Linked DNA regions of Macaca fascicularis. The protein of the gene in region 2 interacts with the protein of the main gene of each other region in a pairwise test. Links are inferred from orthologs where the notes say so. Each region holds a gene or a part of one and is shown on either strand. Other genes may lie near its edges. The genes, in order: DYRK1B and TROAP.

The links.
Region 1: the proteins of TROAP (region 2) and DYRK1B interact in binary tests that used the Homo sapiens proteins (3 or more experiments, as listed by UniProt). The link is inferred for Macaca fascicularis from reciprocal best matches to the Homo sapiens genes TROAP and DYRK1B.

What each region holds. Positions count from the first base shown.
Region 1 is NC_088393.1:46,947,382-46,962,031, forward strand, and holds DYRK1B (dual specificity tyrosine-phosphorylation-regulated kinase 1B), read right to left. Parts: upstream 8,826-14,650; 5' UTR 8,757-8,825; coding exon 8,678-8,756; exon of another isoform or gene 8,380-8,677; intron 7,388-8,379; coding exon 7,224-7,387; intron 6,213-7,223; coding exon 6,093-6,212; intron 5,993-6,092; coding exon 5,804-5,992; intron 5,455-5,803; coding exon 5,307-5,454; intron 4,036-5,306; coding exon 3,749-4,035; intron 3,108-3,748; coding exon 2,961-3,107; intron 2,877-2,960; coding exon 2,736-2,876; intron 2,439-2,735; coding exon 2,123-2,438; intron 1,725-2,122; coding exon 1,618-1,724; intron 1,525-1,617; coding exon 1,153-1,524; 3' UTR 790-1,152; downstream 1-789. Other genes in the region: FBL (rRNA 2'-O-methyltransferase fibrillarin), read right to left, coding at 9,945-9,969, 10,075-10,220, 11,934-12,046, 13,093-13,225, 14,437-14,607.
Region 2 is NC_088385.1:56,138,540-56,153,198, reverse strand, and holds the start of TROAP (tastin), read right to left. Parts: upstream 7,876-14,659; 5' UTR 7,799-7,875; exon of another isoform or gene 7,794-7,798; intron 7,540-7,793; 5' UTR 7,535-7,539; coding exon 7,391-7,534; intron 7,299-7,390; coding exon 7,106-7,298; intron 6,989-7,105; coding exon of another isoform or gene 6,869-6,988; exon of another isoform or gene 6,755-6,868; intron 5,619-6,754; coding exon 5,461-5,618; intron 5,374-5,460; coding exon 5,236-5,373; intron 5,044-5,235; coding exon 4,961-5,043; intron 4,449-4,960; coding exon 4,396-4,448; intron 3,907-4,395; coding exon 3,785-3,906; intron 2,507-3,784; coding exon 2,378-2,506; intron 2,286-2,377; coding exon 2,202-2,285; intron 2,052-2,201; coding exon 1,992-2,051; intron 1,589-1,991; coding exon 1,454-1,588; intron 1,300-1,453; coding exon 501-1,299; intron 224-500; coding exon 30-223; intron 1-29. UniProt on the Homo sapiens protein: Could be involved with bystin and trophinin in a cell adhesion molecule complex that mediates an initial attachment of the blastocyst to uterine epithelial cells at the time of the embryo implantation.

The DNA.
Region 1 (14,650 bases), on a different chromosome or scaffold from region 2:
TCCTAACCACCACGAACATCCAGGACCCGGATACCTCAGACTGCTCATTGGCTGCCTGAAAACCCGCCCCCAAGCCTGAGCGAAAAGAACTCTGGTTGCTGTAGTTCCCCGACACCGCAGAAAGCGACTAAGTAGAACTCCATTTCCCAGAAAGCGCCGCGCCCCAGTGGTGGGAGACGGTACCCTTTGAACTGGGCAGTTCTTGATTGGCCGGTTGGGAGACGTACATTTCCAAATTACCATGGAAACAGGACCACTTACCTGGAACCCCGGGAAAATCTTTTTTCCTTAGAATCTCAACACTTTGTTTCGCGATGATTCCAAAGGGTTGGATAGTACACATGTGGGGGCAGAGTCTGTACCTATTGTCTGCCTATTCCCCAGTTGGCGCCAACAAAGCCTGCTAAGTGCACTCAGCGGCTACTGGACGCCTGCTTGGCCTGAGGAGCCACTCCTGTGCTGGCTCTGCGGACGCCCCGGCTTATTAGGGCACCTGTTTCCCAGAGACAGGCCAGAGCTGAGCCTTTACCCTTTCAGTCTGTTTACCCAAGAAAAGGCAAATGTAGGCCAGGATCCCATCCACGATCAGGATCCCATCCACGATCTCTCTAGAATGCTGGTGCCCCAGACCTGCAGCCCCATGCCTGCAACAAGAGCCACAGCTTCCCCACAAGAGACGTCTCCACACCACAGAGCTCCTCCAGCACCCCCTCCGCAAACCCCCTTCCCCACCACGCCTCTGAGGGTCAGGTGAGGGGAGCCGAAGCCCTGCAAACGCTCAGGCAGGCATGTGAGAAAGCTCTTTACTGGGGGTACAGCGAGGAGGAGCAAGGCCATCTCCCCCTACCTGCCCCCACCCCCTCCTAGGGTCCTGGGGTGAGGGGGGTCTTCCCTCCACCGGACCACCACTGTCTTTGGTACAATAAATAGAAAAAAAGGGGGAGAGGGGCCCAAGGGTCCAGTCTTTAGTGGGGAGGGAGCGGCCAAACCCCTCTCCTTGACCCCCCTGCCCCAGGCCCCAATCAGTGCAGGCCTCACCCACCCCAGCTGGGTAGCAGCAATTCCAGTCAAGGAGAGAGATGAGGATGGGAGCCCAGGGCCCCCAGATGGGGGGGGTATGGCTTCAGGAGGGGCCCCAGGGAGGGGGCAGGGTCATGAGCTGGCTGCCGTGCTCTGGGGTACACCACGGAGGCCCAGGTGAGGCCCCAGAGTGGCAGGGTCATCAGGAGGCGGGAGGGGTGGACGACCTCCCGTCATCCGAGTCCGGAGGGCTGAGGCAGCCGGGTGCTGGGGGGCAGGCGCTGGGTGAGGTGGGGAGCAGTCAGCAGGCCCGCCCACCAGGCTCACATCCATCAGCTCCGGAGGCGGTGGTGAGGTTGGTGATGGGGGACGACCAAGGTATCGGGGCTGGGGGGGTAACTGGGCCCCGGTCCCAGGCAGTGATGAGGCAGAGGCCGGGGCTTGATGTGTCTTGTGGGGCACATCACCCCCTGCCCAGGGCCGCAGTGGCTGGGAGGGTGGGACCTAAAAAAGCAAAGGAGCAATGGATGATGGAGACCCCAGTCCTTAAGCCCCAGGCACCACCACCCACCTCCAAAGCCCCCAAAGCTTCATTACCTGGGGGCTGTTCATCTCACAGTCTGTGATAGGGGGCCCAGGGCCCCCACAATATCGGTTGCTGTAGCGATAGGTCCGGTTGTCACTGGAGGAGCCACTGGAGCCTCCTGGAAGTGCCAGGGAGGAGAGGTGAAGGGGCATAAGGTGAGAGAAGGTGGCAAGTGGGTTTTGGGATGGCTGAGTGAAGTTCATGGCCCAGGCTCAGGTTCAGGCTTCAAGATCAGAGCCCATCTGAAGAACCAGGCCCAATTTTGAGATTTTAGATTGGAATTCAGTTTTGGGTTTTAGAGTCAGAACCAGTTTCAGGGATCTGAGCCCAAGTCCAATTTCAGAGATTGTGTCAGGGCCAGCTGGAGCTCTCCCATCCCACACATCATCTTAGAGTTCAGGATCAAACAGTTTCAGAGCTCTTGTGTGAAGACCCAGTAACAAGGTCCCCTAGGACAAGCCAAACCTGAGCAGCCCCCACCCCTGTTGTACCCCATTTGGGCACGTGGGCACCCACCAGAACTGGAGATGGAGCTGGCGGTGCTGGAAGAGGGGCAGGTGTCGAGAGGCGCGGGCGAGGTGGAGGCACTGCTGCCTGCCGGGCCCGTGTTGGTGGCCTCGTCGGCCGTGCGGCGGAAGAAGCCGTGCTGCAGAGCCCCCAGGGGGCTGATGCGGGCGGCGGGCTCATACTCCAGCATGCGCAGCACCAGGTCCTGGAAGCGGAGGTAGTCGGCGGGGCTGTGGCCCGGCTCCCCCGCCCGCCGGCCCCCGGGCCCGCCCGTCTGCACGCCCAGCACCTCCTGCAGCCGCCGTGTCCCGGGGCCCTGGTAATCCTGGCAGGGAGGGGGTGGGAGGGGGGGCAAGAGAGTGGCCGTCAGTGGGCAGGAGGGGCAGGGAGACACACATGGGGAAACAGAGGCACAGGAGAGAAAGTGGAAAGAAAAGCTAAGAAGAGTTGTGGGGTGGGAAGGAGAGATGGGAGATGGGGTGGGCAGGGAAGGAAGGAAAAGACAGACAAGGGGGACAGGAAGGAAGGGAAAGACACAAGGGAGAGGGAGCAGGGGGAGAGAGCCCCAAGTGTGAGTGAGGGGCCACGGGGTGGGAGGAGTGGCGTGGGGCAGGGGCCGCACCTTCCTGAGTTCTTTTGTCCTTCGTAGGGTCCAGCCACCCCCAGGCAGCCGTTCAAAGTACTTGCGAGCCTTGGGCGCCTGGTCCAGCATGGCAGCCGGCGGGATGCCCAGCACCTCCACAATGCGGTTCATCTGGTCCACCTGTGAGCAGGCGGGAGTCAGGGTCATCAGGCCAGCCAGGCTCCACCCCCTCCACCTCCAGCACACCCCTTCCTGGGGGCACACCTCATTGGAGCCACTGAAGAGGGGCTCTCCGGTGTGCATCTCCACAAGGATGCAGCCCAGGGACCACATGTCAATGGCCAGGTCGTAGGGTGTGCCCAGGAGCACCTCAGGCGAGCGGTAGAAGCGGCTCTGGATATACTGGTAGATCTGGGAAAAGGGTCATCGTCAAGGGTCCCAGCCTCCTCTACTGGTCCCACTGACACCCCCAAAGCTAAGAGGACCCAACTAAGGACAAGCCTCTTGCTGACAAAATGGGGACTGAGGCTCCAAATCCTGCCATTATCAGCACCAGTTTTCTGGGAGCCACTGGTGCCATCTTGTTTATCAATCTGGGGAGCCTGCTGGCCTAAAGAGACCCTGATCTCCACCCCCAACCCCGATCCTGGGCCTTTCTGGGTCACCAGGCAGAGGCTGACATTCCACCAGCCCTATACTATTGTCATTTTTAGTGGCACCTCACACAGAGTTGCAAAGTTGAAGCCTTCCACCTCCCTCCCCGGCTTTAAGAACACAAAACACAAAAACTTAGTAAAGCAGCACCCAGGGCTCAAACCCAACCCAACTTTACCCTGTTCACATCTGGCAGCTTCAAAACGAGCCCTGCCCCCTCAGGCTTCACCCTCCCCATCCTAGTGGGCAGTACATCCACACCCCCACCCCAAGCACTATCCTTCACTTCCAGCAGTTCCTAATAATCCCATCCCAGCCAAGCCCCGCCCCTAAGCCTCCTGTTGGCCCTGCCTCACCCAAACCACTAGCCCTGCTCCCAGGACCGGGCTGCCCCGTACCCTCTGGCCAAGCTGGCAGGAACTGCCGAAGTCCACGATCTTGATGGCGCTGCGCTTGGGGTTGCAGAGCAAGATGTTTTCGGGCTTGAGGTCGCAGTGAATGATGCTGAGCTCAGGCGTGGCCAGAAAGAGCAGTGCCGTGCAGAGCTGCTGCGCCAGCTTCCGGGTCAGGTTCAGCGAGACGCCGCGGAAGTGGGTGTTGCGCAGGAGGTCGTACAGGTTGTAGGACAGCAGCTCGAACACCAGGCACAGGTGGTTCCGGAACATGAAGTGCCGCTTCAGGTGCACTGCGAGGGAGGGGAGAAAATGGGCCAGAGAAAAAATGGCTCAGAGAGGGCAGGTGGTGGCCTGGGGTCATACAACACTCTTTGATCACTAGCCACATGTGCTGTGCCCACGGGTACCATCTGCTAGTCAAGATCTTTTTATCTAACAAACAACTAGGTTCACACAGGAAGTTAACGCTCTTTCCAAGTCTCTGTCAAACCCTCCAATTAAACAAACGAGAAAGTTTCATTAGTTACTACTAGCTCTAACACATTCTACACTTCCTCCTTTAATTTCGTAACACTGCTTTCATCTCCCTTGTATTCATTTTTGTGGCAAAGGACACTAGTTTTCCATCTACTTTAAGGATGTACATTTTCCTTTCAAACGAAACCATTTTAAAATCCACTTGCTGTTTATGATTATGTTGTGATGTTTATGTCCATTAAGAGGAATCAGTTTAAGGGAGAAGAAAGACTGGCACAGATGTTAAGAGTAACACCTCTGGAGTCCACGGCCTCATCAAATTATAGCTCAATTAGTACAAACTGCCCCCTCATGCAAGTGACAGCACTTGAATCCCTGGGTTTCTTTTTTCCTTTCTTCGTTTTTGTTGTTATTATTGTTTGGTTTTTTGTTTGTTTGTTTTTTAAGATAGAGTCTCGCTCTGTCACCAGGCTGGAGTGCAATGGCATGGTCTTGGCTCATTGCAACCTCCACCTCTAAGGTTCAAGCGATTCTCCTGCCTCAGCCTCCCGAGTAGCTGGGACTACAGGCGCGTGCCACCACATCAAGCTAATTTTTTCATATTTTTAGTAGAGACAGGGTTTCACCATGTTGGCCAGGATAGTCTCCAACTCTTGACCTCATGATCCACCCACCTCGGCCTCCCAAAGTGCTGGGATTACAGGCGTGAGCCACGCACCCAGCCCATTTTTTTTGTTTTTGTTTGTTTTATTGAAGAAGAAACTAGGATGGAAGCCCGGGTTTCGTTTCTTCAAGATGTTGGTAATAATCCCCTTATGGGCTGTGGTGAGTTAACTTACATAAAGTGCTTCCAAGACAGCCTGGCCGTTGGTGAGCACTCAGTAACCTCTGACCACTACCAAGTAAATAGGACAAAAACCATAAAAGCAGCAGGAGAATCACTGATGTCAGTGAAGCACAGATCAAACCCTGCTCTGAAGATGTCAGCCTCCTCCTGAGGGTGGGGCAGGGGTGTGACCCATCCCTACTGGCTCCAGCTCCCGCTATCCCAGGTGCCCACAGCCCTGCCAGTCCCGGGCCTCACCTATGTAGTACTTCATCTCGGTGTCATGCTGGTTCATCAGCTCCAGCAGCCGCAGCTCAATCTGGGCCTGGTTCAGGAAGGCCTTTTTGTTCTTGATGATCTTGATGGCCACAAGCTCCTGGGTCTGATGGTCATAGGCTTTCACCACCTGTTGGGGCAGGGCATGTCAAGAAGAAAGGGGTGGGGGCAGGGCAGAGCCAGGCACCATTCTCCTCCCTCCAGGCAAGGAGGCCCACCGAGAACATTATGCATACTTCGCAGTTGAGTGCACACCATTAGTCAGGCACTGGTGGAAACGCTGGACGTGAAATAACATACCACCTTATGTTGAGTCTTGTTATTTAAACTGTTTTACAGAAAAGGCAACTGAGGCACAGGGAAACTAAGTGGGCTAGGGTGAGTGGCCCAGCATGGGATTTGAAGCCACTGAACCACTGGGTATGTGGTCAATGTTAGTGGGGCCTTGGATCAGGGTGGGAGAGGGGGGTGTCCCACACCTGGCCAAAGGAGCCTTTGCCAATGAGCGAGTCAATCTCATAGCGCTCCAGCCAGCGCTCGCCACTGCGCACGATGTAGTCATGGTTGTCGTCATCATAACCATGGTTCAGGACCTTCTTCTCCTTCTTGGTGCTCGAATCCTGGGGTGGCACCTGCTGGGCCCGCCGCTTCTTCTTCGCATAGTATACCTGCCCAGCCAGCCAGGCAGGAGATGGGGACTGGTGAGTGACTCATGCCAGCAGCCAAGACCCTCGGCACCCAGCCCAGGATCCCCCAGCCCCTGCCCACCTCATTGATGTGCTTGTAGGTCTTGATGAGGTCCACAGAGAGCTTACGCAGCGGGGCTGAGGTTGCATCTCGGAAGGCCAGGGGCAGCCTCCGAGGCAGTAGCCGCACATCAGGCAATACCTGCAGGGCAGGGTGAGGGGTGGGCACTGAGGGCGGGCCTTTACCTCCAACCTCAAGAGGAAGAACTATAAGGGCTGCTCGCGCATCATGTATTTGGTTGCTGTCTGTATTTGTTCCACCCATTTAGGAAAGAAACTCCCCCAGGGCTGAGACTTTCTCTTGTTCTTACTGTACCTCCAGTGCCTAAAGCAGGGCCTGGCACACAATGGATACTCTTTCAGACCTGTGATGTGAATGAGTGAACCCTGACCTTTCACCCCTCACCTTTACTCCTTTCTGAACCTCAGTGGGAGAGATTATATGGAAAATCTGGGCTCTGTTCCTCCCCATTCTTCACTGTGAAGCCAGCCATTCTGGGTATCCTCTGAAGTTCCTCTATCTCAATTTACCCTCATCCCTTGGGCCCCAACCCATACCCCCACCAACTCTTTGCATAGTTCTTTCACTCCAAGACTCTTGGATCTGATCTGGCCCCTGGACCTCCCACTCCATCCTGCTTCAAGCTCTGCATGTCACTGCCTTCACTGCCTCCAGCCTTGGAGAGCTTTGCCCTGCACCACCCATGCCTCTTGGACTCAAGACCGTTTAGACTCAACCCCCCTCCCCATTCACCCCCTCCAGATCTTTCACTCTGAACTTTTCTTAGTGAGCATTTATTGGGTATTTACTATGCGCCAGGCACCATTCTAAGCATTCTACATGCATACCATTAACTCATTTAATCCTCACAACAACCGTGTGAGGCAGGTATCATTATTGGCCCCATTTCACAGAATAGAAAACTCGAGTATGGAGAATCTAAGTAATTTAATCACTGGGTAAGCATTTGAACCCAACCTCTCCAAACCCTGACTCTGCCTGAAAACTCCTCTGTTATTTTCCAATCCCATGGGACCCATTATGTGCCCAGGAGACTGTCTTGGGCAACCACACTACATTTTGGTCTGGAGACCCTTCTATCCCCAGCCTCCCCCTACCACCAGGCAGGTGAGGAGCCAGCTGAACGCGTACCTGCGTGTGCTCCTGGGGCCCTGGGAAGCCAGAGAAGGGACCATGGCCCGGTGGGACGGCCATGGTGGGCTCAGAGGGCCGCAGGGGAGCGAGGCCTGGAGCGGGAGCCCGGCCGGGGGGCGCCTTCTTGCATCCTGCACCTCGGCTGCCACCGCCGCTGACACCTGAGAGCAGACAGGCGGTAGGAAAACAACATGGAACAAGGGATATGTGAATAGTGCCAGGCGCGGAAGAGGTGGGCATGAGAAAGGCAGGGAACAGAGAGAAGAGGAAAAGGGCACAACGGAGCAACAGGTAGCAATGAAGAAAAGGGGCAGAGAAGTGGCAGCCAGGTGGGGGGTGGCACAGCAGTCCCTTGACAAATAATGACCAAGTAAATGATTAAGGCAGCACAAAGAGAACGCATAAAAGACAATGATTGGGGGCCAGGCAGGGGTTGATATGAGCCATCACAGGGAAAGGAGGACAGGAAGACACCAATAATTCGGAGGAGGGAAAGAAAAAAGATAGAAACCACAGACAGTATGCAGAGGAGTAAGCTTCATTCTTTTCTCATTACTACTCATGGCCCTCCCCAGGGCCCCTAACACAAGATCCCACCCTTCTAAAGTCTTCCCTGAACATTAGGATCTCAGCCCGTAGTACAGCAAGGGCCACTACTTCAAGATCTACCCTTCTCAGTAGATTCCCTCAGCCCAGAGAACTCTAGGATTTCCAAACCACATGAGTGTTCCCCTCCCAAACCACAGCAGAATCCTCTGCAGCCCTAAAACCACATCAGCGTCCTTAGGGACCTCCCAACCACACCAAAGTTATCTGAGAACCTCTACAGAACAGAGTCCTATCTCTACGGCATTCTCATCTACCAGGGCACAACTTTCCTAGGGGACCCTCTCCATATCATGCCAAGACCGCTTCCCTATATCAGGTCCTCCATATTAGGAACCAGCCTTCCAGGCAGTCTCCCTGTACTATATCCCAATTCCCCCTGCCACAACAGGGCTCTTCCCCACATTACTCCAAGACCCCATCCCAATCAAGGCCCACTCCTCCTGATGGGAGGTGTCTCTTCCCACAGTTTAGAGTGATCTTTTCTCCCCTACACTGCTTCCTTGCCCCCCTACATACACACACACACACTGCCTAATATTCCTACCAGACACCTTTCTCCAGGCACCCCTCTTTATACCAGGGTCATTCCACAACTGAGTCCACTCCTACAGGGCCTCAAAGCCAAATGCCCAAGTATCACATAGGGTTCTCTCCTCCCAGAGTTGTCAGCCACAGCAAAAATCTCCCCAATGGGCCATTTTCTCCCCCATGTCAAATCCTTTTCTCCTATTCCATGCCTCGCCACTCCACGACTCCTCCACCCTTGGAGCTTCCCCCCAAAACAACCTCTTTTCCGGGGCCCTCCCACACCAGGACCATCTCTCCCAGCCCCCACCCCCTACCCGGGTCAGGGCTGGCGCGGGGCCCACGGGGGGCTGGGGCGCGGTGGGGCCCCCAGGCGGGTGGTCGAGCGGCCAGCATGGCGGCGGTGGCAGCGCTGAAAAGGCGACCGCCTGTCCCTGGCCCGGCCGGCCCCGCGGCAGGGAGGGCAAGCGGGACGGGCGGCCCGGTGGGTGACAACAGCAGCCGCCGCTGCCACCAGGGGCGGGGAGAGGAGGGGACAAGGGTCAGCCCGGGGCACGAGGGGGAAGAGTAGAGCAGGTGGACGGGGGAGGGGCGACACGCCCCACCCTGAGTGGCCACCAGCCCCTAGGGACCCGGCGTCCCGCCCCCCACCCAGGAGGCCCTCCTGGGCCTGCCGAGACCGGCAGGCGGGGCCCGACTGAGCTTGGCAATCGGCACCTGCCATGGCAACAACTGTGCCATTGGTCGCTGGTGCCAAGAGCTCAGCCAATCACAGCCTAGGGCAGCTGTTGCTAGGCAACGAAGAAGCGGCCCGCGGAGCCGAGCCCAAACAAAGGGCGGGAGTGGGGCCCGGCTACCCCCTCCCAGCCTCCCTCCTGCAACTGCTCCCTCGGGCTTGGCCGGTTCCAGGAATTCAACTATGAATAGCCAGGCAGGGCCCGCACCTGCCCGCCACCCCCCTCCTCTCCTCCCTTGGCCTCGCGCTAAGTCTCGCGGCGACGCGGGCAGGGCGGATCCCGTCCTGCCCACCTCCCTGCGACCGCCCCACCGTCCCTGCGCCGTTACCTGAGGGAGCGGGCAAGGGGACTCAAACTGCTCGGGGAGCCCGAGCTCAGACCTGCCCACTGGCTGAGGGTATCCGGCGGACGCGGCAAGCCAGGGCCCCGATTACCCAGTAATGCAACCAGCAAAATGGCGACCACAACAAACCGGCCCCCCCACGCCCTGGACTCCGCCCCCATCCCGCCCTCTCCGCTCCCCCCACGTGACCCAGACTGCCACTCCGCCTGCGCGAGACGGCCGCTTACCTGTACGCATGCGCAGTGAGCTACCAATCACACCCAAGAACTGAAATCCGGGCTGCGACTGCGCGAGAGGCAGCTACAAATGGAGCATGGGCTCTGTGACCGGGTGAGAATTTACCCCACGACCCCGCAAAGTTAACCAAGGGTGCATGCGCCCTGTGTCAGCAGGTCAAGGGGAGGAATGAGCAGCAGACATGGGAGACGGATGAGTCTTTTAATAGAAAAACACACGTGCAACAGTATCAACACACATCTCTAGCAATCCAGACAGCGCTGAACTTCAGTTCTTCACCTTGGGGGGTGGCCTGTGAGAGGAAGATACGTGATGAAGAAGGATCCCCAGGATCATGGCACTTGGGGTGCAAGGGACAGAGATGTCTGTCTTGGTGTATTGCTGGGCCCCTGCTCACCTGTACACTCCCACGACCACGGCATGGTCTCTTTCATATGGCTCAAGGGTCAACTGCTCCTGCGGCTTCATATTCTCCTGCTGCATCTTTTTCACTTCGGAGGCAAACACAGCCTCGGCTGAGGCTGTGGAGTCAATGCAGTTGGCCTAAAGAGGAGAAAGGACTGACTGATGTCCACAACAGGGCTTTGGGCTGTTTTCCTCTTGTGTGCTCTTTAAACCAGATGTTTTCATTATTAATTCAAGTAAAACTCAGTGCTGTGGTTCTAACGTGTCCCCCAAAGTTCATGTGTTGGAACCTTAACGCTTAAATGCAACAGAATTGAGATGGGCCTTTGAGAGATGATTTAGGTCATGAGGGCTCTGCCTTCCTGAATAGACTAATGCTATTATCACAAGAGTGGGTTCCTGATTAAAAGCATGATTATGCCCCCTTTCCATCTTGCTCTCACCATTCTGCCAATGGATGACAGCAATTTGGCCCTCGCCAGATTCAGGCCCCCAATCTTGGACTTTCCAGCCTTCGGAACTGGTAGCCAAATAAATTTCTGTTCATTATAAATTACCCAGTCTCAGGCTGGGCGTTGTGGCTCACACCTGTAATCCCAGCACTTTGGGAAGCCAAGGCGGGTGAATCACGAAATAGGAGATCGAGACCATCCTGGCCAACATGGTGAAACCCTGTCTTCACTAAAAATACAAAAATTAGCCGGCTGTGGTGGCACACACCTGTAGTCCCAGCTACTCGGGAGGCTGAGGCAGGAGAATCCCTTGAACCCGGGAAGTGGAGGTTGCAGTGAGCTGAGATCACAACACTGCACTCCAACCTGGCAACAGAGTGAGACTCCATCTCAAAAAATAAAAATAAAAAAAATAAATTACCCAGTCTATAGCATTCTGTGATAGCTGCATAAAAAGGGCTAAGACACTTGGGTTTAGGAAATGTGATAAAAGGCTTAATTAAAGAAGTTTCTGGCTGGGTTCATGCCTGTAATCCTAGCACTTTGGGAGGCTGAGGCAGTGAGATTGCCTGAGCTCAGGAGCTCCAGACCAGCCTGAGCAACATGGCAAAACCCCATCTCCACTAAAAATATAAAAGTGCCAGGTGTGGTGGCACACATCTATAGTCCCAGCTACTTGGGAGGCTGAGGCATAAGAATTGCTTGAACCTGTGAGGCGGAGGTTGCAGTGAGCTGAGATTGCACCACTTCACGCCAGCCTTGTGAGAGAGCGAGACTGTGTCTCAAATTAAAAAAAAAAAAAAAAAAAAGTTTTTAGTTTGCTTTGGATTTGAAGCAGGAAGCCTATTTATCTAAAAGCCAGTGCTTAAGTTTTATACCCAGGAATTGTTTGGTTTATTTCTACTTCCTCTTCTTTAATAATAGTAATAATGCAGTTGAGAATAATAAAACAAATGTAGTAAAAGGCTAACAAATGGTGAACCCTGTGAAGGGTGCATGGGGGAGTTCTCCATTATTTCTAAATAAAACGTTGTGAAAGATGCACCTAGCTTTTATCTAGTATCCTAGGCCAGGATCTTTTCTAAACACTTCATATATATTGACTAATTTGATCCTGTCATCCACCCTGAAAAAGATTAGACTAATATTTCTATTTTACAAGTGAGGAAACTGAGGCATATAGGTTAAGTAACTTGCTTAGTTTACACGGCAGGCTGGAATGAGATGGTCAGACTCAATTTTGCACTTGACCACTGCACTCTCTTGCCTCTTTAGATCCAAAGCTATAGTTTTGCAGACTTGGTCCCTCTCTTTTGGGTGGCTATTTGACAGATACAGATAGAGAAGATACCTCCCTAGAACACTGCCACCCCATCTTAGACTCCTCCAAACCCCGCACCTTAATGGAAATCACAAAGTGTCCTCCATTACGCAGGAAGGTGTGGGCATTCAGGGCCACAATCCGGGTCTGGTCTGGCTGGGCCACATCAGCAAAGATCACATCCACCATTGCTAAGGAGAAAGGGGCAGCAGTTACAAGTTGGAGTCACAGGGATCATCCCAGACCCTCCCAGGGGCCTATGCCCATCACCAGCAGGTTCCTGGGAGATTCTCCCTGCCTCCAGTTTCACTCCCCACCTCCACTGGTCCCCCTCCCTCCAGTATCCCAAGATGAGTCCAAAACCCACAGTCACATCATTCATCCACTCTTCTTGGAAACCATGGTTGCCACCTACTCTGTGGCCAGCCCTGGGCCGGGCGTGGGGGACATAGAGACGAGTCAGACCCGGACCCTGCCCTCGAGACGCTCCCGGGTCTGGTGGGGAGACAGACACGTCATCAAAAAGACAAGTAAGAGTGAGTGAGCACTTATAGGCAAGAGTGTCTGCAGGACCGTGAAATGAAAACAAGTCGCAGAACAAAGGGGATAGTATGAGTGCACGGGGGAAAAAAACACAGAAAGAAAAATGAGCAGAATGAAAAATAATGTATTTAAGGCAGTGTGACTTTTCAAAAATGAAAAGGTGGTATAATGAAAACTGATTACTTAAAACCTGGGAAAAGCAGACATCAAATTGTTCTCATCAGTTACCTCTGGGGGTGGTTTATAAGGCTTTTCAACTTTTATATTATACCTTTGAATGTTTTTTTAAACAAAGTCATTAATAGTCACAATGGACCCCTCTAGGTCAAGCCATAGCTCAGTTTGTTTTCTGGGCTATGCTCTCACCAGCCAATGATAAGGACCCCCAAAAGGAGGTTTTTAATGCAGGGGCAGTGTAATAAATACAGGAGGCAGGAAGTACAGGAGACCTAGGAGATGGGGAGGAGACTGAAGGAGAGGAGCTTGGCCCTCCCAAGGGTGGCTTCCAAGATTCTGAAGTCAAGCTGCCACCTCTACAGCTTCACCTAGCTCCCCTTACCCCTTTCTATTCCTGCAGACTCAAGAGGTCTGCTCATCCACTCCAACTCCATCTAAATCAGGGGTCCACTGGCTTCTTCCAGGAAGCCTGCAGTGGCCTGTCCTAGCCCACCGGGGCCACCCCCAGACCCCTCACCGATGAGCATGCGGTATTTGTGTGGGTGCCGAGCATCCTCGATCACAGGAATGATGTTGGTCCTCTTCTTGGCCAAGTTAATGAGGTCACGGCCAGAGCGGTGGGAGAACTCGACTGCATAGACTAGACCATCCTAAAATAAATTAAAAAGGAATCAACAATGATGCTAGTTCTCAGGCATGGAGTGCCTACTTTAGGCCCATACACTCTACACAGCATCTCTTCCAACCCCCAAATCAAAACCCTACCATATAATGACTATTGTTATCATGCCCATTTTATACATGAATACACTGAGGTCCAGACATAAAGTCACAGGTCAAGGGTTATTCAGCAAGTAGCAAAAGTACCCAATCCCATCTGCCTGAGAGCCCAGGCTCCCAACAGAGGCTTAAAGCCAGGAAGCCAAGGCACACAGATGATGTAACCATGGGCCAATCACTGCTGTGAGCACCTTTCAGAAATTAACTCATTTAATCTTCACAAGTCTATGTTCCAGAGAGGTAAACTGAGGCTTGGATGGATTAGGTAACTTGCCTGATTAAAGCCTGAGGGTTTGTTTTCTTGTTTGTTTGTTTTGTTTTGTTTTTGAGATGGAGTCTCGCTGTCGCTCAGGCTGGAGTGCAGTGGTGCAATCTCAGCTTAGTGCAACGTCCACCTCCCAGGTTCAAGCAATTCTCCTGTCTCAGCCTCCCGAGTAGCTGGGACTACAGGCACATGCCACCACACCCAGCTAATTTGTGTTATTTTTAGTAGAGACAGGGTTTTACCATATTGGTCAGGCTGGTCTCGAGCTCCTGACCTCAGGTGATCCACCTCCCTCGGCCTCCCAACGTGTTGGGATTAAAGGCATGAGCCACCTCGTCTGGCCAAAGCCTGAGGCTTTAAGACACTACATTTAATAGCTTATAAACACGTAAAGTAACAAAGGGTAATGGAGTGGGACATGTGGGTGCCAGGGGTCCTCTAAACGGGAAGCCTATACAGGCTCAGAAACCATGAGATCTCCTGGTTCTTTCTAAAGAAACCAGAAGAGCAGGTTTTAGCAGCATAAAATTTTAAAGAGGCCCATCAAATCAAACAGTCTGGTATCTATACTCCCAGCTGTCTCTCTAAGGTTGGTCACCCCACACCCACGTCTCTTCCCTTGAGGCCAAGAACCCAGGAGCGAGGTTGAATGACGTTATCTGGTTCAAGCCGCTCCTTTTACTCACAGGCACTGTGACAGAAAAAGGCCTGGCCCTAAGTCACACAGTGAAGGCAAGCCGTCAAACCCTGCTATTCCAGGTTGGCGGAGGGGAGGGAGCCTTTGCCTCCTGCCTGACGCTCCATCCACTCACTCACCGGACCGACGATGTCAGAGACATGGGAGACGGTGGTGCCCGAGGCAGCCCCGAGGTAGAGCACCTTAGCCCCCGGTTTGATGTGGATCTGGTCCACACCACCCAGGATTGCTGCAGCCAGCTTGGAGCGGAAAGGGTTCCAGGCTCGGTACTCAATTTTGTCATCTCCTTCCTAGATGATAGATGGGGACAGAAGTCAGCGCTAGGCTCTTCTG
Region 2 (14,659 bases):
CACAGCTGGGCTGTGGGTTGGAGTCTCACCAGGGCATCCTGCCATTCGAGTAATGTAGCCACAGGGTTGGTGCAGACCCGGGTGGGGCCTGAGGGAGGGGCTCGGCTGGTGTAAAAGGCACACTCATCGTCCAGACGAGCCTCATGGAAGCAGTGGATGGCGGTTAAACACGATTTGAGGCGCTCCCTCAGGGCTAGGGTTCGAGGGGCCAGACTGCTGAGGCCTGAGGGGCATGGAGAATTTAGAGGGCGGTCTGGAGTCCCATACTTCCACCATGTACTGTCCTTTCCTCCTCCCCCACCAACGGGGCCAAGCCAATTAGGAGCACAGGGCTGGAAGTGCAGCCCCTCCCCTCTTCCTGAGGGAGAGCCAGGCTGGGCCAGGGTGGAAGGTGTGGAAGCATGGGATTGCCTGGAGCAGGGGTGGGGCAGGGCAGGGGTGCAGCTCACAGTGAGTTGAGGACCTCTTGTGTTCACACTCCTTCCCAGCCAACTCCTTACCTGCCTGGCCTGCCGGGGTTCTCAGAGACTGGAGTGAGCAGATAGGGGGGCTGGCACAAAGCGGGTGTTGGGAAGAGAAGATCAGGCTGGTGGTTGCTGGAGCCCACTGACTGCAGCAGGGTGGTAGGCTGGACTCTGGACTTCTATGTTCCAGGGTGCAGGGCTCTGATGCCCCCAGCTCTACCCTAGGGTAGGGCTCTGGGGGTCCAGACTGCCCCTGGGTGCTGGGCTGAAGGGGACTGGGTTCTGCTGGAGGGCAGGGCTCTGGTACCTCAAGCTGTTCCTGCTGAGAGGGCTCTGGTATCTCAGGCTCACTCCTACAGCAGGACTCTGGGGACCTGGGTTCTGCTGGAGGGCAGGGCTCTGGTACCTCAAGCTGTTCCTGGCGGGAGGGCTCCGGTATCTCAGGCTCACTCCTACAGCAGGATTCTGGGGACCTGGGTTCTGCTGGAGGGCAGGGCTCTGGTACCTCAAGCTGTTCCTGGGGGGAGGGCTCTGGTGTCTCAGGCTCACTCCTACAGACGGCCTCTGGTGGCCCAGGCTCCGCTGGAGGGCAGGGCTGTGGTTCCCCGCACTCCTCTGGAAGGCAGGGCTTTGGCAGCCCTGAGCATTTTAACAATCCAGGAAGGTGGGAAGTCCCAGAGTTATGCTCTGTGGCATTCAGATTTCTAGAAATCTCAGTCAGCAGGGGCTGAAGTTCAACCATATCCAGAGAAGAGCCTCCGTTAAGGGGGGCACACTGGCCCCCTACCAGCCCCTCTATCTCCTGTCTCAACAGCTGCTGCAGGATACCGATGCGCTGTGGTGGGAGAGAGCACCCCAGTGTGACATCAAGATGTGCATTCAGTAGTCTACTTACACTGTCCTATTCCTGACCCCCCATCTCTTTTCCTTCTTCCTCAGCCCCAGTCACTGTTCAATAGACATCAAAGCTGTTGCCCACACAGACTCACTTGAATCTTCACCTCCTGGAGGTTGGGGGTTCTGTTAGAGTGGGGTTCAGAAGGAGTGGCCACAGGTGGTTTCCCAGACCCCTCCAGTGACCTTATACAACTCTCCTGGTCAAACAACCGGACGGCAACCTGCTCCTGTCACCAAGGAACAAGGCACACAAGAAAGCCAGGATGGGGCAGGAGAAAGACCAGCCTGAGTCCCACCCTCATGAGGAATAGATTAAAGCCGCTGACTGAGAGGCCCTAGATGTACATTAGGAGTGGCAGCAGAGAAGCAGGGAGAGTTAGGCAGCTTTTCCAGAGAGCATTTTCTAATTTTTTAAATTTTTAGTAGAGACAGGGTCTCACTATGTTGCCCAGGCTGGTCTCAAAGATCTGGGCTCAAGCAATCCTCCCACCTCAGCCTCCCAAAGTGCTGGGATTACAGGTGTGAGCCATCATGCCTGGCCCAGAAAGCACATGTGTCTCAAACTCCTGGGCCTTCAGGCTGGCAGCACAGGGCAAGGAATCTCAGTAGGGGGAGCCTTCTGATACTTACCCAGGGCAGGGCAGGATCTTCAGAGCAGGACTGAGGGGAAACACCACTCAGCCACCGGGCCTGGCACAGAAGTGAGATGTCAGCAAGGCCTGACACCCACAGGTGGCACTCAACCTCCCCTTGCTTCTGTCTTCTCTCTCCTGTACCCATCCATCTCCTTTCTCCCCTAGCTGTGGCTTCTGCCAGCCACCTCCCCATGCCCTCTCTTACCTGCTGAACTCTGGGGGTTGATGGCATGGGCGTGAATCGGGTTTTAGGTTGAATGGTGAGACGCCGCAACACTGAATATGAGGTCTGGGGAGAGATGTGGGTGGCTTAGCAGACCTAGCAAGGATCTCTGGCCAGACTGTTCTGCCCCTGCCCAGCCCCCAGCTGTTGACACAAACCACAGTTGGAGGGCCTGGGGAGGGTACACGCTGAGCCCGTCCAAAGGGTGATGGACATGGCACCACATGGCCAGGCAAGGGCTGGGCCACAGGGGCAGGGGAGGGCATCAGGTGGGAGTCACGGCTGTCCTGTGAAGAAGAAAAAGGTGGAAGAGTGATCCCTGCCCCCTCTGTCTTCCTATATCTTGTTCTCACTACAGCAGCCAGCGTGATTCTTTTAAGACCTAAGTCAAGCCAGGCATGGTGGCTCAGGCCTGTAATCCCAGCACTTTGGGAGGCCAAGGAGAACAGAGCATCTGAAGTCGGGAGTTCGAGACCAGCCTGACCAACATGGAGAAACCCTGTCTCTACTAAAACTACAAAATTAGTCAGGCGTGGTGGTGCATGCCTGTAATCCCAGCTACTCAGAAGGCTGAGGCAGGAGAATCACTTGAACCTGGGAAGCGGTGGTTGTGATGAGTGGCGATCATGCCACTGCACTCCAGCCTGGGCAACAAGAGTGAAACTCCGTCTCAAAAAAAAAAAAAAAAGACCTAAGTCAAATCATGTCACTTTCTTGATCAACCCTTCTCCCCATGGCTTCCCACTACTTCCAAGAAAAGCCAAGAACTTACACTGGTGTACAATTCCTTACCCAATCTGATTGTGTTATCACTAAAACCATATCTCCTACCGCTCTCCTTACTCTGCTTCAATCTCACTGGCCTCTCCTTTTTGCGGATCCTCAAATATGCCAGGCACATTCCCTCCCCAGGGCCTTTGCCTCTTCAGTTCTCTTGGCCTGGAACATTCCTTCCCCCAGATATCAACATATCTCACTCCTCCTCCAACCCCTGGTCTTCACTTAAACATCATCTTCTCAATAAGAGTTCCCTGACCAATCTATTTTAAATTGCAACACCAACTCCCCTGCTCCCAATTCCCCTTTAGTGCCCTATTATTTTTATTATTTTTTTATAGAGAACTTACAGTCATCTGAGACACTATTTTATATATGTGTTTATTTCTTATCTCCCCCTTCTAGAATATGAACTTGTTTATTGCTGTATGTCCAGAGCCTAGAACACGGCCTGGCACTCAGCAGGCTGGTGCTACTCAGTAAATATTTGTGAAGCGAAGGGATGAATCCTTTTGGCTGACAAGTGGCAGATCTGTCTCACCCTTAGCACTGATCTGATGGTGATACAAATATGATCTCTCACCCCAGGCCCTAGACATTTGATAAAGAGAGGTCAGTTTCACATTGGAGAGGGACTGGGTGCATCTGGGGTAAACCTACCCAATAACATCCTGAGGCCCAAGACTGCCTGGCTCTACCTACAATTCTCAGTGTTGGCTGCTGCTGCGAAATTCTCCCAAGCATCTCCTGCACCTCCCACCCACCATCCCAGGAGAGTTGCATCTCACCCTGGTATGTGTCATTTCTCGGTTTTCTCTTAATGGTACTCGCTGGGCCAGACCAAGAGAGGCCACACTTCCTTCATCTGAGCGAGTGACAACCTCATGTTCTCCTTTAGGGAGAGAGAAAGCTAGGAAGAAACGGGACATTTGTTGTAGACTCTAGAACACCCACCAAAGTTTGGCACAGGGTTCTACAACTTCTGAAGAGGGTATATTAGTTTAATAGCCCCCATTGCACTATTAGGGACAGGAACCCATCCAGCAGCCCCTCAACACCCAACACTATCTCAGTAAACACTTACTAATCTGAACGTCTGAGTAGGCTGGGTATGTGGTGATGGCACTTAGGGGCTGGGGATAAACAGTGAGTGGAAGATAAATCTTGCAGGAAGTGGCAGAGAGAGGGCCGAAATGAAGACCATCTCCTTTGACACAAGTGCAACTGTGCCAACCTCTGGCCTATCTAGAAAGTCTCTTCTTCTTCTCCTTCTGACCTAGCCTCCCAGCCTCCCACTTTCTCATGCTCCCTCCCAGCCTGCTGAGTTTTATCTGATCTTGTTCCCTGCTTCAGGCAGCCCAACTGCCCCTGTGCTCTCCCCACAGCCAGACACACTCACCAGGCTGGACTGGGGTCTCCAGGAGCAATCCTGAGGCCTGGCTCACTGAAGTCCTGATGACAATAAGGACAGTAGCCAGCAGTCACTGAGTACCAAGTATGAGCTGGACATGTGCTAAGTGCTTTACAAACATCATCTCATTTCATTCTCATGACAATTTCTAATGATGATACAAATGTTATTCTCACTTGACAAAGAAACCAAAGCTCAGAGAGGTGAAGGCAAGCTTGCACAACTAGTAAGTGGTAAGAGTTAGGATATAAACCCAAATCCCATTTATTGCCACAGTCTATACTGTAGCCACTAAACAAAAGAGATAGCACATTTCTGTCCTCCCTGTCCCCCCATGACTTGAAGAAACTGATGTCACACTGAGGCCTGCCTGTGAAGGCCTGAACCCTATCCCAAGGGCTCATCCTGGGTAATCACAGGTTTCTTGCTTCCCCTTCAGAGTTGGTGGGGAGTCCTAAAGCTACTGGAAGGCCCCAACTCTGGGGGACTCCTGTATCAGACACTGGTTCATTCTTTTCCAGATGACCTTCTCCCACACCCTCTCCTTTCTCACCGGCTGCTGCCAGCTGTCTCCCTTCTTAGCTCCTGGAAACTGGGGCGAGTGGAAGGGTGAAAGGAAGGTCCTGAAGGTGAAATCTGATCCACAGGAGCAAGAGATGAAAACGGAATCAGAGGTGGACCCTAAACCCTCAGGCCTCACCACCAACCCCATCTCCCCCAATAGGATCCCTTGCCTCATCATGAGGTACTTCCTCTCCCAAAGGCCAGCTTTGTCCCTGGAAGGAGCTCCCAGAAGCACCAAGTATCAGGCCTCTCAAGGGCACTCACCAGAGCCTGTAGCCTCTGGGGGCACAAAGTCTGGCCTCGAGGTCCTGGTCCCTCCAGCCTTGAGAAGCAGGAAGCCCTGGCAGGGTCCAGTCGGTGAGTGGGAGTTCTGGGGGCCAAATATGCAGAGGCCCGAACACCCTGGGACACCAACAGAGGCTGTCAGCACAGCTCAGGATGCCCACCTCAGCGCCCCCAGCCTGGTCTCCTCACATCCTGTTTCATTACCTGGCCCCTCTGGGTGGTGCCTCCCTGACTTCCTCGAACCAGTACTCTCTTAGCAAGACTAGGCTGGCGCCCCAGGTGACAGCTCTTCACACCCTCACCTGACAGGATGGTGGCCAGGGCTGCAGGGTCAGCCACAAACTCTATGGTCCCTGGAGCCTCTGCAAGGAAAGAGAAGGAAAGGTAAGAAGGAACAGGAAGGGGGAAAGCTGAGGGGGATAGGGACCCTAGCATAGTCACTTTGAGATACAAGGTGAGCAAAAGAGACTCATTCAATTGAATTTGGCTTTTTTTTTTTTTTTTTTTAAGCAATAGATGGCTGGGCGTGGTGGCTCACACCTGTAATCCCAGCACTTTGGGAGGCTGAGGCAGGTGGATCACTTGTGGTCAGGAGTTTGAGACCAACCTGGCCAACATGGCAAAACCCTGTCTCTACTAAAAAAATACAAAAATTGGCTGGGCATGGTAGCTCACTCCTGTAATCCCAGCACTTTGGGAGGCTGAGACGGGCAGATCACCTGAGGTCAGGAGTTTGAGACCAGCCTGGTCAACATAGTGAAACCCCATCTCTACTTAAAAAAAAAAAAAAAAAATTAGCTGGGCATGGTGGCACACACCTGTAGTCCCAGCTACTCAGGAGGCTAAGGCTGGAGAATCATTTGAACCTGGGAGGTGGAGGCTGCAGTGAGCCAAGATCATGCCACTGCACTCCAGCCTGGTGACAGAGCGAGACTCCGTCTCATATAAATAAATAAATAAATAAATAAAGCAAACAAAAATTAGCCAGGTGTGGTGGCAGGTGTCCGTAATCCCAGGTACTTGGGGGAGGCTGAGTCATGATAATTGCTTGAACCTCGGAGGTGGATATTGCAGTGAGTTGAGATCATGCCACTGTCGTCCAACCTGAGGGATACAGTAAGACTCTATCTCCAAAAAAAAAAAAAAAAAAAAAAGAAAAGAAAAAAAAAAAGAAAAACTAAAAAGAAATGGGGTCTCACCATGTTGTCCAGGCTGGTCTCAAACTCCTGAGCTCAAGTGACCCTCCCGCCTCAGCCTCTCAAAGTGTTGGAATTACAGGCGTGAGCCACCACACCTGCCCACCAAATGTTCATAGAATGTTACATAAGACACTATTCTAAGCATTGGGGTCCCATAAGAATAAGACAAAGCCCCTATCCTCAAGAAGCTATCATCAAACTATAGACAGGTAACAGACTCAAGCCAAGGTATATACATGTTATAAAAGAAGTACTGCAAAGTATTAGGAGAACAAGTGACATGGGGAACTGGAAAAGGCTTCAGAAGAAGTGACATTTATTATTTATTTATTTTTTTTTTTTTTAAAGAGATAGGATCTCCCTCTGTCATCCAGGCTAGTCTCCAACTCCTGGCCTCCAGTGATCCTCCCGCTTTAGCCTCCTGAGTAGCTGTGATTACTGGTACAACCCATGGCGCCTGGTGAGATGACATTTTGCTGGAGGAAAGGGAGATCTTCTAAGAGCAAAGAGCTTTCCAGGAGGTGGAACCAGGACTATCACAGTAAGCAGGAGACAGCAGGAGTGAGTGCAAAACCCCAAAACCCCACTTTTACCCTTCCTAGTTCCCTACTCGGCCATGGAGGCCGTGTTACCAGGGCTCCAACAGGTACCTGTCTGGGCAGGGGGCCCAGGCCCCACATTTTGACCCCTAGGGCTAGGCCTGAGCTCCTCCAAGGGGTTCCGAGGCTGAGGGATCCCCACCAATCTTTGTGATGTCTCTGCCTGGTGCTTGGCTTTGGGCCTAGGGCCTGCTGAATCAACGAGGGGGCGTTGAATATTGAGCGGTGGTTTCTGCAACCATCTCTAGGGGAGGGAGGGGGGACAAAAAGGTGAGGTTTAGTGTTGGGGTGCATTACTGGTGTGACTACTGTCTTCCCCCATTAGGCCGCTCTTACCCTTGGATCTTGGTTCTCCTGGTCCAGGGCGCACGATGTAACAGTGGGGAAAGGCGTGCGTTTCTGAGAGCGTACCGGAATCTTGCTAGGGGTAGGAGATACACCCCGAAGGAGGGGATCCCTCGTGGCTTGCCGGGTGGTCATGATGGCTACAGTTGAGACGGGGAAGAAGGCAGGTAGAATCGGAGATCAAAGATCAACCAGTTCTCGGGGCACCTGTCCTGCCATCCCTGATACCTCTGCCCTAATCCACGCGCCCACAAGCCCCCGGCGCCTGCAAGACCGCTCTTATGGGTGCTACCTCCAGACACCCCGAAACTACTCTTTCGCCCTCGGACCTCGAACTGCCCTCGTCCCTATGAGCCCAGCAGCCCTCGTTCCCTCCAAGACCCCCGTGCCTCACCTTACCGAGAGCCCCTCAGGGCCGACCCAGCTTCCTCCGCTTTTCGCCTGACTCTCTCGGATACGGCTGGAGCTACTTCCTCAGTTTGTAAAATACGCCAAGCTCCTGATTGGCCCGGCCGCGCTCCCGCGGAGGCCTGTGTAGCCAGACTCAGCAGTCCAATCCGCGGGCTTCGCAGGAGGGGCCAAAAGAAGGACCAATTGTCGAACCGCTTTCTGGCCAGGAAAAAAAAAAAAAAAAAAAAAAAAACTGACTCGGCTCAATCAGCCAATCCGAGAGTGGAGCGCCGCTGGAAGGCGGGGAAAGAGGAAGGATGGGGCAGTTCCGAGGCCGTTCCGAGGCCGGGGAAGGCGTAGCCATGGGAGCTCTCGCGAGGTCTCGGGACCGGCGAGGGGCTGGCCATTGGCAGAAAGGGGCCGTCGCGGCCCTGAGAGGACGGTTGCTTGTTCTGATTGGTGCCAACGGTGTTGAAGGCTGGCCTGTGCCCCCCACCCGGCTTGACCACAGCCCTGCGCCAAGCTTTGGGGACGCCATTCCAGATACCCATAGAAAATATCTGCGTCCGGGCGCGGTGGCAGGCGCCTGTAATCCCGGCACTTTGGGACGCCGAGGCGGGAAGATCTTTTGAGCTATGAGTTTGAGACCAGCCTGAGCAACATAGCGAGACCACTCCCACCCCTATCTACAAAATAATAAAATAATAATAATAATTCCTGTGCAGTGGTGCGCGCTTGTAGTCCCAGCTGCTCTGGAGGCTGAGGCAGGAGGATCGTTTTGAGCCCAGGAGGTTGAGGCTGTTTGAGTTGTGGTCACGCCACTGCACTCCAGCCTGGGCAACAGAGAGAGACCCTGTCTTAAGGATAAATACATAAATAAATAAAGAGGGAAAGAGAGAGAGAACATCTGCACGTTGTCTCCAAGATAAGGAACTGCCTTCAAACAGGCAGAGGGCTGAAGGGAATCGAACTGAGCCTAACAATATGTGTGCTCCTTGGAGCCTCACAACCCAGTGAGGTGTCTGGTGAGGTGTCTTTCATTTCACGATAGGTAACAAGACTCATTGTTTTTGAACTCAGTTACCACAGCACCAGAATTGAATGACTACTCACAGCTGGGCTTTCCTTGCCTCCAGGTAGCCTTTTGCAGATCTAGAGGTCTGGGGAGAGGGGGCTCACCTGCTGGTTATTGGTGGGCAGAGCTGTGAGACTGAGAGATCCTAGAATATCCTGCTTAAGATGGACGGGGTAACCCCTAATGGGGGACAGGAAATGAACACCACTTTCAAGTTGACAGAACTCTGGTGAATTTTCCCCACCAATCACAGAAGTTATTCTTACACAAGTCAGAAACGAGGAGTTACTCCTTAAGTCCTCCCACTCCCTTTACATATCCCGTCTCTCATTCACTCTCACTAATTTTACTATTTATGCATTTTTGAGACAGGGTCTCACTCTGTCGCCCAGGCTGGAGTGCAGTGGTGCGATATCAGCTCACTGCAGCCTGGACCTCCTGAGTTCAAGGATCCTCCCACCTCAGCCTCTCACCTGGGACTACAGGTGCCCCCCACCAGCTAATATTTGTTTTTTTGTAGAGACAGGATCTGGCTACATTGTCTAGCCTGGGGCTGCAGGTGTCCTTCCCAGCACTTTGGATGGCCCAGGCAGATCTCTTGAGGCCTGGAATTCCAGACCAGCCTAGACAATGTAGCAAGATCCTGTTTCTGTAAAAAAAAAAAAAAAAAAAAAAAAAAAAAAATTAAAGATATGTAAGGTATCTTTACTAATTGTATGTATCTTTAAAATTCCTCTACTTTCAGGCTGGGCACAGTGGCTCATGCCTGTAATCCCAGCACTTTGGGAGGCCAAGGCAGGTGGATCACCTGAGGTCGGGAGTTCAAGACCAGGCTGACCAACATGGAGAAATCCTTCTCTATTGACAACACAAAAATTAGCCGGGCTTGGTGGCGCATGCCTGTAATCCCAGCTACTCAGGAGGCTGAGGCAGGAGAATCACTTGAACCTGGGAGGCGGAGGTTGAGGTGAGCTGAGATCGCACCACTGCACTCCAACCTGGGCAACAAGAGAGAAACTCCATCTCAAAAAAACCAAACAAACAACAAAAAAAATTCATCTACTTTCGGCTGGGTTTATGCCTATAATCCAGCACTTTGGGAGGCCAAGGTGGGCGGATCACCTGAGTTCAAGAATCTGAGACCATCCTAACCAACACTGTGAAACCCTGTCTCTACTAAAAATACAAAAATTAGCTAGGCATGGTGGCTGGTGCCTGTAATCCCAGCTACTCAAGAGGTTGAGGCAGGAGAATCGCTTGAACCCAGGAGGCAGAGGCTGCAGTGAGCAGAGATTGTACCACTGCATTCTCCAGCCTGGGTGACAGTGAGACTCTGTCTCAAAAAAGAAAAATTTTCTTTCTTTTCTTTCTTTCTTTCTTTCTTTCTTTCTTTCTTTCTTTCTTTCTTTCCTTTCTTTTTCTCTTTCACTTTTTTCTCTCTTTCTCTTCCTCTCACTCTTTCTTTCTCTTTCTTTTTCTTTCACTTTTTTCTCTCTCTTTCTCTTCCTCTCTCTCACTCTCTTTCTCTCTTTCTTTCTTTCTCTCTCTCTCTCTTTCCCTCCCCTCCTCCCCTCCCCTCCCCTCCCCTCCCCTTCCCTTCCCTTCCCTTCCCTTCTTCTTTCTCTTGAGATGGAGTCTTGCTCTGTCACCCAGGCTGGAGTGCAGTGGCCTGATCTTGGCTCACTGCAGCCTCCACCTCCCAGGTTCAAGCAATTCTCCTGCCTCAGTCTCCTGAGCAGCTGGGATTACAGGCGCCAGCCACCATGCCCAGCTAATTTTTGTATTTTAGTTGGGACAGGGTTTCACAAATGTTGGTCAGGATGGTCTCGAACTCCTGACCGCAAGTGATCCACTTGCCTTGGCCTCCCAAAGTGAGCCACCGGCCCATCTACTTTCTTGTTCTTTGTTAGCACCACCCTAATCCACCTCAGTTTCACCTAGGCAATTGCAAGAGTCTCTTAGTTGGTCTCCCATCCCTTAGTCTCTCTTTCTTTTCACACTCTTCCATTCTCCATATAGCAGCTAGAGTAATCTTTCCAAAATGCACATCCAGTCAGGCTACCACTATCCCTTGACCTCTCCCCACTGAAACCTTCCATCTTCCACCACTCTTCCCCTTCTATTAATACCTCCAACTTCATGGCTTCTTTCAATTCCTCAAGTTTGTCCTGATTGCTCTATATGGTCCCTGTTTCTGGAATGTCCTTTTCACTTCCACTTTGCCTATTTATGCCTCCAAATTGATTTCCATTGTTATTTCCTCAGGCCTTCCTTGAACCCCTTTACCTACCACCCACCCCAATCTAGTAAAGACCTCTTGGCTATGTGCTCTCAAAAACTAATGTTTGTTTCCTCAGAGCATGTATATTAGTTGGTAATTATATATTTATCAATGTGAACATAATATGTTTACTAAACTCAGTTTCCCCCAATAGACCTCCAAGGAGATGATGAAGGTAACCCTCTATTTTTGGCTTACCATCATATCTTTAGTACCTTGCATTATCCTTCGTAAAAGTGCTCAATCCTTGTTGAATGAGTCAATAGACAGATGAATATATGATTGAATGCATCAACAGGAAAGACCTCCAAGAAGAAATAATGTTTGAACTTCCTCTTTAAAAAAAATTTTAAGGTCAGCCTTGGTGGCTTACACCTGCAATCCCAGCACTTCGGGACACGAAGGCAGGCGGATCACTTCAGGTCAGGAATCTGAGACCAGCCTGGCCAACTTGGCAAAACCCCATCTCTACTAAAAATACAAAAATTAGCTGGGTGTGGTGGTGCATGCCTGTAATCCCAGCTACTCGGGAGGCTGAGGCACGAGAATCACTTGAACCCAGAAGGGGGAGGTTGCAATGGGCGGAGATCATGCCACTGCACTCTAGGCTGGGGGAGAGAGTGAGTGAGACTTTGTCTCAAAAAAAAAAAATTTTTTTTTAATGTACACTTTTTTCTTTTTTGTATAGAGATGGAGTCTTACTATGTTGCCCAGGCTGGTCTCAAACTCCTGGGCTCAAGCCATCCGCCTGCCTCACCTTCCCATAGTCCTGGGATTACAGATGTGAGTCACCATGCCAGCCTGCTTTTACTTTTTTTTGATTAACTCTGTTTTCATCCTTATCACTACATATAATCTAATTCATTGCTTATAACTGCTACATAGGATTCCATGGTAGGCATCCATTATACTTTACTTACCCATTCCCGACTTCTATACACAATGCCAGACAGTTATCTCTTACATAGTCCCCTGTGAGCCAGTTCAAGAATTTCTCTGGAACATATTCCTCGGAGTGGAATTTCTGTGGTAAGGTATGTGCATGCTCAATTTTACTAAGTAGCATCAGATTATTTTTCAGAAAATCTGTAGCTATAAACCGGGCATGGCATGCACTTGTAGTCCCAGCTTCTCAGAAGGCTGAGGTAGGAGGATTGCCTGAGCCCAGGAGTTTGAAGCCAGCCTTGATAACATGGTGAGACATTCTTTAAAAAAACCTGAAAAACAAAACAAAACAAGAAAACCCAGGTCTGTAGATGTTTACAGTATCAACATTATTACTGTCAGTTTTTATTACCTCAGACCCTTCCCAACACTTAATATTATACAACTCTCTAATATTTGCAATTCTAATGTGTATATTAAGTGTACTCTTAGTTATTTAAAATTACATTTCTCTGATTACTAGTGAGTTTGAGTGTTACTTCATATTCTTTTTTTTTTTTTTTTTTTTCTTGAGATGGAGTCTCACTGTGTTGCCAAGGCTGGGGTGCAGTGAAATGATCTTGGCTCACTGCAACCTCAGCCTCCTAAGTTCAAGTGATCCTCCTGCCTCAGCCCCACTAGTAGCTGGGATTACAGGCATGTGCCACCATCCCCAGCTAATTTTTGTATTTTTCATAGAGACAAGGTTTCGCCATTTTGGCCAGGCTGGTTTCCAACTCCTGACCTCAGGTAATCCACCCACCTTGGCCTCCCAAAGTGCTGGGATTACAGGCGTGAGTCATTGCACCTGGCTATTTCATATTCTTATTAGCCAACAAAACTTCCTCCTCTCTGAAATGCCTATTCATATCCTTTGTGCTATTTTTATTTTGGATTCCTGTCTTTACTTTTGTTCCTTCATAAGATTACACTATATTATGAATATTAATCCCACATTCACTTTTTAAAAAATTATTTTATTTTATTTTATTTTATTTATTATTGTTACTTTTTGAGATGGAGTCTTGCTCTGTCGCCCATACAGTGGCCCGACGTCAGCTCACTGAAACCTCCACCTCCCGGGTTCAAGTGATTCTCCTGCCTCAGCCTCCCAGGAAGCTGGGATTACAGGCACACGCCACCATGCCGGGCTAATTTTTGTATTAAGGTTCTTCAGAGAGACATAACCAACTGGATATATGAGAGGGGATTTATTAGGGAATTAGCCACATGATCACAGAGGCAAAATCCCATGATAGGCTCTTTGCAAGCTGGGGAACCAGAGAAGCTGGTAGCATGGCTCAGTCCAACTCCAGAAGCTTCGGAGCCAGGGAAGCCAACAGTACAACCCCCTAGTTGGAGGCCAAAGGCCTGAAGACCCCTGAGAGGCCACTGGTGCAAGTCCCAAAGTCCAAAAGCTGAAGAACCTGTAGTCTGTTGTACAAGAGCAGGAGGAGAAAAAACAGATTGCTCTGGAAGGGAGAGTTTGATAATTCCCCCACTTCTTCCTGTTTGTTCAAATCCACCCCAAGCGGTTAGATGATACCCACCCACACTGAAGGCAGGTCTTCCTCTCTCAGTCCAAGGACTCACAGCCAATCTCCCCTGCAACACCCTTACAGATACACGCACAAACAATGCTTCACCAGCCATCTAGGCATCTCTCAATCCAGTCAAGTCGATGCCTTAAATTAACCATCACAGGGCCTGAGGGTTAGGTGGTCAGAATGTATCAAGGTTGGGCTGGGCACAGTGGCTCATGCCTGTAATCCCAACACTTTGGGAGACTGAGGCAGGTGGATCACCTGAGGTCAGGAGTTCGAGATCAGCCTGGCCAACATGGTGAAACTCCTGTCTCTACTAAAAATACAAAAATTAGCCAGGCATGGTGGCGGGAGCCTGCAATCTCAGCTACTCGAGAGACTGAGGCAGGAGAATCACTTGAATCCAGAAGGCAGAGTTTGGGGTGAGCCAAAATCACACCACTGCACTCCAGCCCGGGTGACAGAGAGAGACTCCCTCTCAATAAATAAATTAATTAATTAATTAAATTAAATTAAAGCATACTGAAATATTTGAGGCAATATATTATCAATTTGCTCTCAAATGGTTGAGAAAAAATGTTATGTGTATCCTTGCAAATGTTCTGTAAGTTTAAAATGGTTTCACAAAAACAGGGAAAAAAGTTACTCTTTGGAGAAGCTTCAGATGGTTTCCCACAAGTCAAGGTTGTTCCAGCACTGTTGCTGTTAATATTGGAAATTTTCTATGATGGTGTAAGAAAAAGAAATCAACAGAATCAGGGTTGGGCACAGTGGCTCACGCCTATAGTCCCAGCACTTTGGGAGGCTGAAGTGGGTGGATCACCTGAGGTCAGGAGTTAGAGATCAGCCTGACTAACATAGTGAAACCCCATCTCTACTAAAAATACAAAAGTAGCCGGGCATAATGGTGCATGCTTTTAATTCCAGCTACTTGGGAGGCTAAGGCAGGAGAATCACTTGAACCCAGAAGGTGGAGGAAATCACATCATTGCACTCCAGCCTGGGCAATAAGAGCAAAACACCATTAAAAAAAAAAAATCAAACAA